Linked DNA regions of Coturnix japonica. Each later gene encodes a partner of the first gene's protein in a complex. Links are inferred from orthologs where the notes say so. Each region holds a gene or a part of one and is shown in the gene's direction. Other genes may lie near its edges.

Region 1 (3,512 bases):
TTATCTTTTGTGTGTGTACATATGTGTAATTATGTGTTGATAACTGGCTTAATGTTAAGCTTCTCTGTCAGTCTGATCTTCAGTAATAAGCTGAAGTAGCAGCAGAACAGCATGCTCTAATAAGCAAATGGAGAGACTAATACCAGGAGTCTTATGTGCTGATACCAAGGTGCAGTTTTTGACTCTTCCTTTTCTTCTGGTGGTCTCTCAGTTGCTATGACAACATTCAGCTGCATCTTTTAAAAGCCAGTGATGCTTTTCACAGTGTGGAATGAATCCTTAAGAAATTAGTATTCTTGGGAACCAAAGCAGTTGGCATGAAACTGAGATCCAGGGATGTGCTGGATGCTGAATGTTGTATTTTCAGAGGATGTTGTGGAAAACTGAACAGCTTGTTCTGCTATACGTGATTTATATTTGAAGGTCCCTTGCTACAATGCATACATAGGAGATGCTGTTGGACGAGTTTGGTCTGACACCTTTTTTATCACAAGTCATTGTGATTTGTGAGGTCTCTGTTACGCTGTGCACGTAGTTCTCTAGGAGCTTCTTAATGCATTTAAGCTGGAGTCTTAACTTCTGACATGAATGCTACAACATGGACAGTTATGGAACATGAGATGGTGGAAGGTTTGACCAATCCAGCTGATTCTCACTGGATCTAATGGGGATGAATACCTATATATATCTATATAGAGACACTGTAAAGTTTTCATTAGTTAAAATGAGCATGTTTATGTAGATATCAGTGTCTATCTTTGATATTTCAATAGAAAGGCAGATGCTACTTCTGAGTAGTGTTAGCACAGTGTGCAAACATCATTTTGGTTTTGTCTTCAGAAGAATCTGGCACGTATTGCAGACACTGCTGTTAGAACAGAACGTTTCTGTAGTAGATCAGTGACTTGAGCTTGAATTGTATCATTCAGCTTTTAGTTTGGACGCTGAGCAGCCGGATTATGACATGGATTCAGAAGATGAGGTCTTTGTCAATAAGTTGAAGAAAAGGATGGATATCTCTCCTTTGCAATTTGAAGAGATGATAGACCGACTAGAGAAGGGCAGCGGCCAGCAGGTATGGGGTTGCTTTGAATAAAGAATTCTGAAATACGCTTTGTCTGTGATGCCTTATGACAATGACATACTGGGTTTTACATTTAGCCAGTCAGCCTGCAAGAGGCCAAGCTGTTGCTGAAAGAAGACGATGAATTGATCAGAGAAGTATACGAGTACTGGATTAAAAAGAGGAAAAACTGTCGAGGGCCCTCTCTTATCCCAGCGGTGAAACAAGAGAAGCGAGATGGCTCCAGCACAAATGATCCTTACGTTGCTTTTAGGAGACGAACAGAAAAGATGCAGACAAGGAAAGTAAGTAGATTAATACTTCCCTGTTACTTGTTTCCTCTTCTTTCTCCTCCCTCTCATAAGAGCTTATCTGAAGAGACAAACTTGCTACGTAGTGTAAAACAATACAAGATGCCTTTTTGTGTTTTTTCTCTTTTAATTTGTAAGGGGGGGGATGGAAAAAAAGATGAAGCACTTGAGACCAGTTACTGAAGGAAGTTTGTATTCAGTATTTATTTTCTCTCTAAATTGGCTGCTAAACCTACTTGTGATGGTAGAAAGCTGTAGCTGATTGGTAGATGCACACGTTTCTCTAAATTTGTTTTAGCACATGTTTTAAAAGAACTGAACACTTACAGTTTAGTTTAGTTCAGGTTATGTTATTTAAATGATGTGGGAAAACATGAACCACTTTGCCTCTACAGAATCGAAAAAATGATGAAGCGTCCTATGAGAAGATGCTTAAACTGCGGCGAGACCTGAGCCGTGCAGTAACCATCCTGGAGATGATAAAGAGGAGGGAAAAGAGCAAGAGGGAATTGCTGCATTTAACACTGGAAATTATCGAAAAGAGGTAATGGTTATTGCAGATGTGCTGCAGAAAGCTTCAGAAACTGCTATAGATGTCAGCTCCTATGAATGTTTTATATAATATGCGATATTGTCTTAGCAAAGAGATTTGCATTTTGCTTTGTTAACAATATGGCATATTCTATTCTCTTTTATGACACTGAAGAGCAGAATTGAATTTAGGGAGTTACTGAAAAAAAAGCAGGCTGCTTTTTCAAAATGGGTATCGCTAATGTGCTTTGTTCTATTACGTGTGTGTTAAAACATAATTATCTTACGTCCTGTGTATTATGTAGTAAGGAAGACTATAGCTTCAGGTAAATTCCTATGGAAATGTTAAACTTAATAACTGTGTAGATGAGGGAATATCCTGTCAAAGAAAACAAGCATTTCATTCAGCACAATGTACTGTTCTGGGAGTTGTTTCCAACTTGTTTCTGTTGACATCCTGTTCAACAGCTGTGCAGAGACCAAATGCTCCACTTTGTCAGTTGTCACTTTCCCAATGAGTTGAGAATCACATTTGAGATGTAGGGTTGGTTGTTTAGCAGTTGATATTTAGAATCTGAATGGACTTCTCAGATCTAAGCATCCATGTTTGAAAACTTAAAACATTTTGAGTCAGTGCTGTAAGGCTCTAAAACAAAACAGCTTGTGATTTAGTTTGAGATCTTGGGAACACGAGCTGAGTGTCTCAGTCCTTTCTAACAGGTGCTCTTTTTTAAGCACTGACCATGCCCAGTAGAGAGACGCACTGGCTTTTCTAAGCAGGTGAACTCTTGAAGGCTAAAATGACTAAAAAAATCCAGACCATCAAATTAGCACAGATCTTGAAATGCAATATGTTTCATGGTTCTACATCTTACAAAGCTGTGCTGTTGCACAGAGGGGATTTGTGCACAAGGCTCTGCCTCTCTGTAGAACCCTTTGCATTATGTTATGTTGGGTGTATTACAGATGGTTCCCCTTGTCAGAACTGGGCATGGCAGAAAAAATCTGCGTGCTGTTGGTCTCCTGCAATAGTCATTTTTGAACTTGTTGCTGACATCTTGGAAGTCCTTCTTACCCCAAATGGGAAGTGCTGTTACTCTGTGTTTAACTGTTGCATGTTGTTCTGTGTTTTTACCAGACAAGCACTAGCAATATTTAAAGCAGTCTTGTTCTTTTACACTTTTTAAATTACAGGTATAATTTGGGTGATTACAGTGGAGAGATTGTGTCTGAGGTCATGGCACAGCGGCAGCCAATGAAACCTACTTACGCTATTCCCATCATTCCTGTGACTAACAGCAGTCCTTTCAAACATCAAGAAACGATGGAACTGAAAGAATATAAAGTTAACAAAGTGAGTAATGGCAGTAACAGAGTCGTTAGGTGCTGTGACTTGAGCAAACTGCAGCATTTTAGGATATAGCTACAGAAAATGTGCTTGATTGGGTGTTCTGTGTGGGATGGCAGTAGAACAAATGGTGCTTAATTCCAACTTACAGTTTAAACATTCCAGTTAATAGCTGTGAGATAGAAATATTCTTGAGAGGTCTGCTTGTGTCACTATTAAGATGCTGGAGTGGTGATGTTACTCTTTAGTTTGCTTAATG
Region 2 (4,179 bases), on another chromosome or scaffold:
ATAATGCCCCGTACCCAGAGCAATCAGCCCCACAACCACCGACCACCCCCCCCGACACCCCCTTTAGTCTAAGAGAGGCCCCAGAGATGGGATGAGAGCTTTAAATGCTGCACTGCTGGGGATCAGCCGAAGTGAACGCACTTCACATCACGCAGCTCTGCCACCAAGATTGAAACCCAGCAGGAAAAACACCCTGACCAACACCAGACTGCCCTGCAAAGCAAACGGCGGCGCAGATCCCAGCAGGGAGGGAGAAGAGGTTGAGACTCGTGCACTTCTATCCCATGTGAAGCTCTCCACGCTCTCTGAGCTTTATGGAGGCGGCAGCTCCTCCTCCGGGTGAGAGAGGTGAGATGTGTGACATCTCCGAGCTCCCAAAGGGAACTCAAAGCACGGCGGGAGGAGAAAGAGCAGCTTCACCCTGAGCCGGCAGAGCCACGGACCCCCCCATTCCTCACAGCGCCGTGGGAACAGCAGGGAGCACCAACAAAGGGGGCGGGGAGGGGGCACAGACCCATTTCCAGAGGCTCCAAATGAGGAGCGCGATGCCAGGAGGCCGCCGAGATGAGGCCCCGCTGGGCAGCAGCCCCCCAGCCGTCCCCCTTTGGGCAACCAGAAGCTCTCCGTGCTCTGCCCTGCAATCAGGAACGGCCTCAGCGCTCTGTGCCAGGGACGGCGGTAGAAATCACTCCGGTTCCACGTCCAGCATCCCTAAACCAGACCCATTACCACCAACTTCGAAGGCAATAAGGAGTGTAAGCCCCCTCTCAACACTGACACGGCCGAATCGCAGCTCTAAGTGCCCCCCATCATCCCTACCCCGGGCCGAGGGCAGCCCCACACCCCCCATATCCCCCACATACATCACTATATGGTGACCAACCCCCCTCCCCCCCACACGGTGCCAAACGGCCCCACAGCCCCCAACGGCCGCGACACCCCACCGGGCAGGGGGAGACCGTCACCTCAACCCCCCCCCCCCCCCCCCCCCCCCCCCCCCCGCCCCCCCCCCCCCCCCCCCCCCCCCCCCCCCCCCCCCCCCCCCCCCCCCCCCCCCCCCCCCCCCCCCCCACCAGCCGCTCCTCGTCCCTCCGGCTCTCAGCTCCGCCTCCCCCGCCGCCCCCGGGCCCGGCCTTAGTCCCCCCGTACCCCCGAGGCCGCCGCTGCTGCCGCTGCTGCCCCCCGACTCGGGCCCCGCCGCCGCCATCTTGCCGCCTCCTGCGCCCGCCGCCGCCTCGCGCGAGGCCACGCCCCCTCGGTACCACCCACGTATGGAGGAGGGGGGGGATGTGAGTCACGTGCTCCTCGAGCAGCCAATAGAAATCAACCCAGTCTTCCGGACCTCCGGGCCGCAAGGGGGCGCTACATCGTTCGCTCCGCCCCTACGGCAGGACGACGAGTCGAGCGCCGATGGCGGCGGAGGCGCCGCGATGAGTTTGGCTGAAGGCCGCGCCCCGCGGCGCACGGCGGGGAACCGGCTGTCGGGATTGTTGGAGGCCGAGGAGGAGGATGAGTTCTACCAGACCACGTATGGGGGGTTCACTGAGGTGCGACGGCCGGGACGGGCTGGGGCAGGGGGGCTGCGGGGCGGTGTGAAGCCTTAGAGGGGGGACCCGGGGCCTAAAGGGGGTCGGGGGTCGTGAGGGGTCCGGGGAGTCGTCAGGAAGGAGATTTATGGGGGTGTGAGGTGGACTGAAGGGTTTGAGGGGGTTGTGAGGCCTTAGACGGGGGTTGGGAGGGAACCCGGGGCCTAAAGGGGGTCGGGGGGGTGCGGGGGGTCCTCAGGGGAGGCCTGGAAGGGGATTTATGGGGGTGTGAGGGGAGATGAGAGGGTTGCAATGGAGGCTGAGTGGGATCGGGGACATTTAGAGCCCTGAAGGGGTTGGTGAGGGAAACTGGGGGGGGTCCTGGAGGGGCTGGGGGCACTGAGGGGTCAGAATGGGGACGGAGGCACTTAGGAGGACAGAATGGGGCAGGGGTGGCTTTAGATGGTCTTTAACAGGGGCTCCAAATGGGGCTGGGAGGACCCCCAGGGGCAGCTGTCAATGAATGGCCCATGGGGGGGTGGTGGAGCGCAGCCCTGGCTGTGACGCTGCCCATCTGTCCCTGCAGGAGTCGGGGGATGATGAGTACCGGGGCGACCAGTCGGACAGTGACGATGAGGTGGACTCCGACTTTGACATCGATGAGGGCGAGGAACCGACGAGCGACCAGGATGAGAGCGAACCCAAACGGCGCCGCCGCGTGGTCACCAAGGCCTACAGGGTGAGGAGGGGAAAGTGGGGATGGGGCTGGGTCCATCCCAGTGTCCTCTGACCTGCTGGGAAGGGATACGGATGGCCCCAGATGGATGGGATAATTAGCAATCTGCTAATTGCTGACTGTGGGGAGGACGTGTCCCTTGGAGGACATGGGGCAGCCCCATGTGGTTTCTCCCTCCTCACATCCCTCCTGCCCAACCCTTAGGAGCCCATCAAGAGCCTTCGACCCAAGAAGGCCGACACCCCCAGCAGCAGCTCCCAAAAGGCCCGAGAGGTGAAATTAGCCCCACTGGAACTCCAGGATGAAGTAGGAGACAGTGAGTGCAGTCAGGATGGGATGTGCCAGCATCCCTGGGCTGGAACCAGGCACCCCACTGCCCTGGGAGCTGTGCTGGCCCCACACTGAGCCCCATCCTCCCACTGCAGGCCGGAAGCACATGAGGCAGTCAACAACAGAGCACACACGTCAGACCTTCCTGCGTATCCAGGAGCGCCAGGTTCAATCCAAGCGCAAGAAGGGAGGCCCCAACTACGACCGCCCGCTGACACAGGAGGAGCTGCTGGAGGAGGCCAAGATCACGGAGGAGATCAACCTCCGCTCGCTGGGTGAGGAGAGCACAGGGATTGGGAATGGGATGGGGGGTGTAGTGGGGGGTGCTGAGACCCTCTGGGCTCATCTCTGCTTCCCCAGAGAACTACGAACGCCTGGAGGCTGATAAGAAGAAGCAGGTGCAGAAGAAGAGGAAATGCGTGGGGCCCGTGATCCGGTACTGGTCCGTCACCATGCCCCTCATCACAGAGCTGGGCAAGGAGGAGAATGTGGACGTGGAGGGGTGAGTTGGGAACAGCAGATGGGATCCTGATGCTTTTCCCTTATGCTGCACACAGTCCCCATCGCTCCCATCCCTGGGGCTCAGTGTGGAGCAGCATGTTTAGTGCTGCCCACAGCCTGGGCTCCCCCAGCTCCGTGCATCCCTTAGAGCTGATTGTGGCTCTTCCAGGTTGGACCAAGACCCTCAGCAGGCAGAAGCTGCTCCAGCCTCCAGCTCCAAGTGCTCCCGCACCTTCATCTCCTTCACTGATGATGAAACCTTTGAACGTTTCTTCCCCAAATCGAAGGCTCCGCGGTTGCCGGTGCGGGAGATCTGCCCTGTAACCCACAAACCCGCTGTATATCGTGACCCCATCACTGACATCCCCTATTCCAACATCCGAGCCTTTAAAATCATCCGTGAGGCTTACAAGAAATACATCACGGCCCACGGGCTGCCCAGCGCCGCTGCTGCATCCGCTGCTTTGGGGGCTGCTCCTCCTGGCCCTGACCCTGGTCTGAGAGCCACGCGGCAGAAGATCATCATCAAGCAGAGCGTGCCCACGGCCTGAGAGCGCCTGTTCCTTGTTCCATGTCAACCTGTTTTGTGTTGTTGTTTTCTTGGCTTCTTTTTTGTAATAAAAAGGAGAAAAAAGAAGGAGCTGGAGGTGAGGGGGGAGCGCAGGTCGTGCCCTTGTTGCTGGGTTATCCAGCAGGATGAAATGAAGCCTTGTTTGCAGGCAGATCCATGCAGTGCCCCACACACCCTCCCATAGTGTTCAGATTGGGGCTGGAGGTGAGAAGGGCACACAGGCGGTCTCAGAGCTGTGGGATGTGGGGCAGCTCCGGGACATGTGGGGCAGCCTCTCTCTGCGGTGATAGAGGTGCCTCCCACAGCACCAACCCCAAACCTTCACCCCCCCCCCGATGGGGCGGACGCAGCGATGAGCCCCGATGCCCCGGGGGGGTGGGGGGGGCTCCTGAGGGCGGCGGGTACCGGGTGGAGCAGCGCGGGGCGCTGGTAGGGCTCGATAACAGCGGGATATGTGATCTCGCCCCTCCCCACTGCCGGCTCGCAGAATAAAACGCTGATCTCATGCCCTGCGC

What was found.
Region 2: EPC1 (region 1) and VPS72 share a complex: the UniProt entries of both Homo sapiens proteins name them as parts of the nuA4-related complex. The link is inferred for Coturnix japonica from reciprocal best matches to the Homo sapiens genes EPC1 and VPS72.

What each region holds. Positions count from the first base shown.
Region 1 is NC_029517.1:12,814,570-12,818,081, forward strand, and holds part of EPC1 (enhancer of polycomb homolog 1), read left to right. Parts: intron 1-929; coding exon 930-1,075; intron 1,076-1,161; coding exon 1,162-1,368; intron 1,369-1,769; coding exon 1,770-1,918; intron 1,919-3,099; coding exon 3,100-3,259; intron 3,260-3,512. UniProt on the Homo sapiens protein: Component of the NuA4 histone acetyltransferase (HAT) complex, a multiprotein complex involved in transcriptional activation of select genes principally by acetylation of nucleosomal histones H4 and H2A.
Region 2 is NC_029540.1:2,245,297-2,249,475, reverse strand, and holds VPS72 (vacuolar protein sorting-associated protein 72 homolog), read left to right. Parts: upstream 1-1,367; 5' UTR 1,368-1,430; coding exon 1,431-1,547; intron 1,548-2,112; coding exon 2,113-2,265; intron 2,266-2,466; coding exon 2,467-2,578; intron 2,579-2,687; coding exon 2,688-2,867; intron 2,868-2,952; coding exon 2,953-3,094; intron 3,095-3,262; coding exon 3,263-3,644; 3' UTR 3,645-3,730; downstream 3,731-4,179. UniProt on the Homo sapiens protein: Deposition-and-exchange histone chaperone specific for H2AZ1, specifically chaperones H2AZ1 and deposits it into nucleosomes.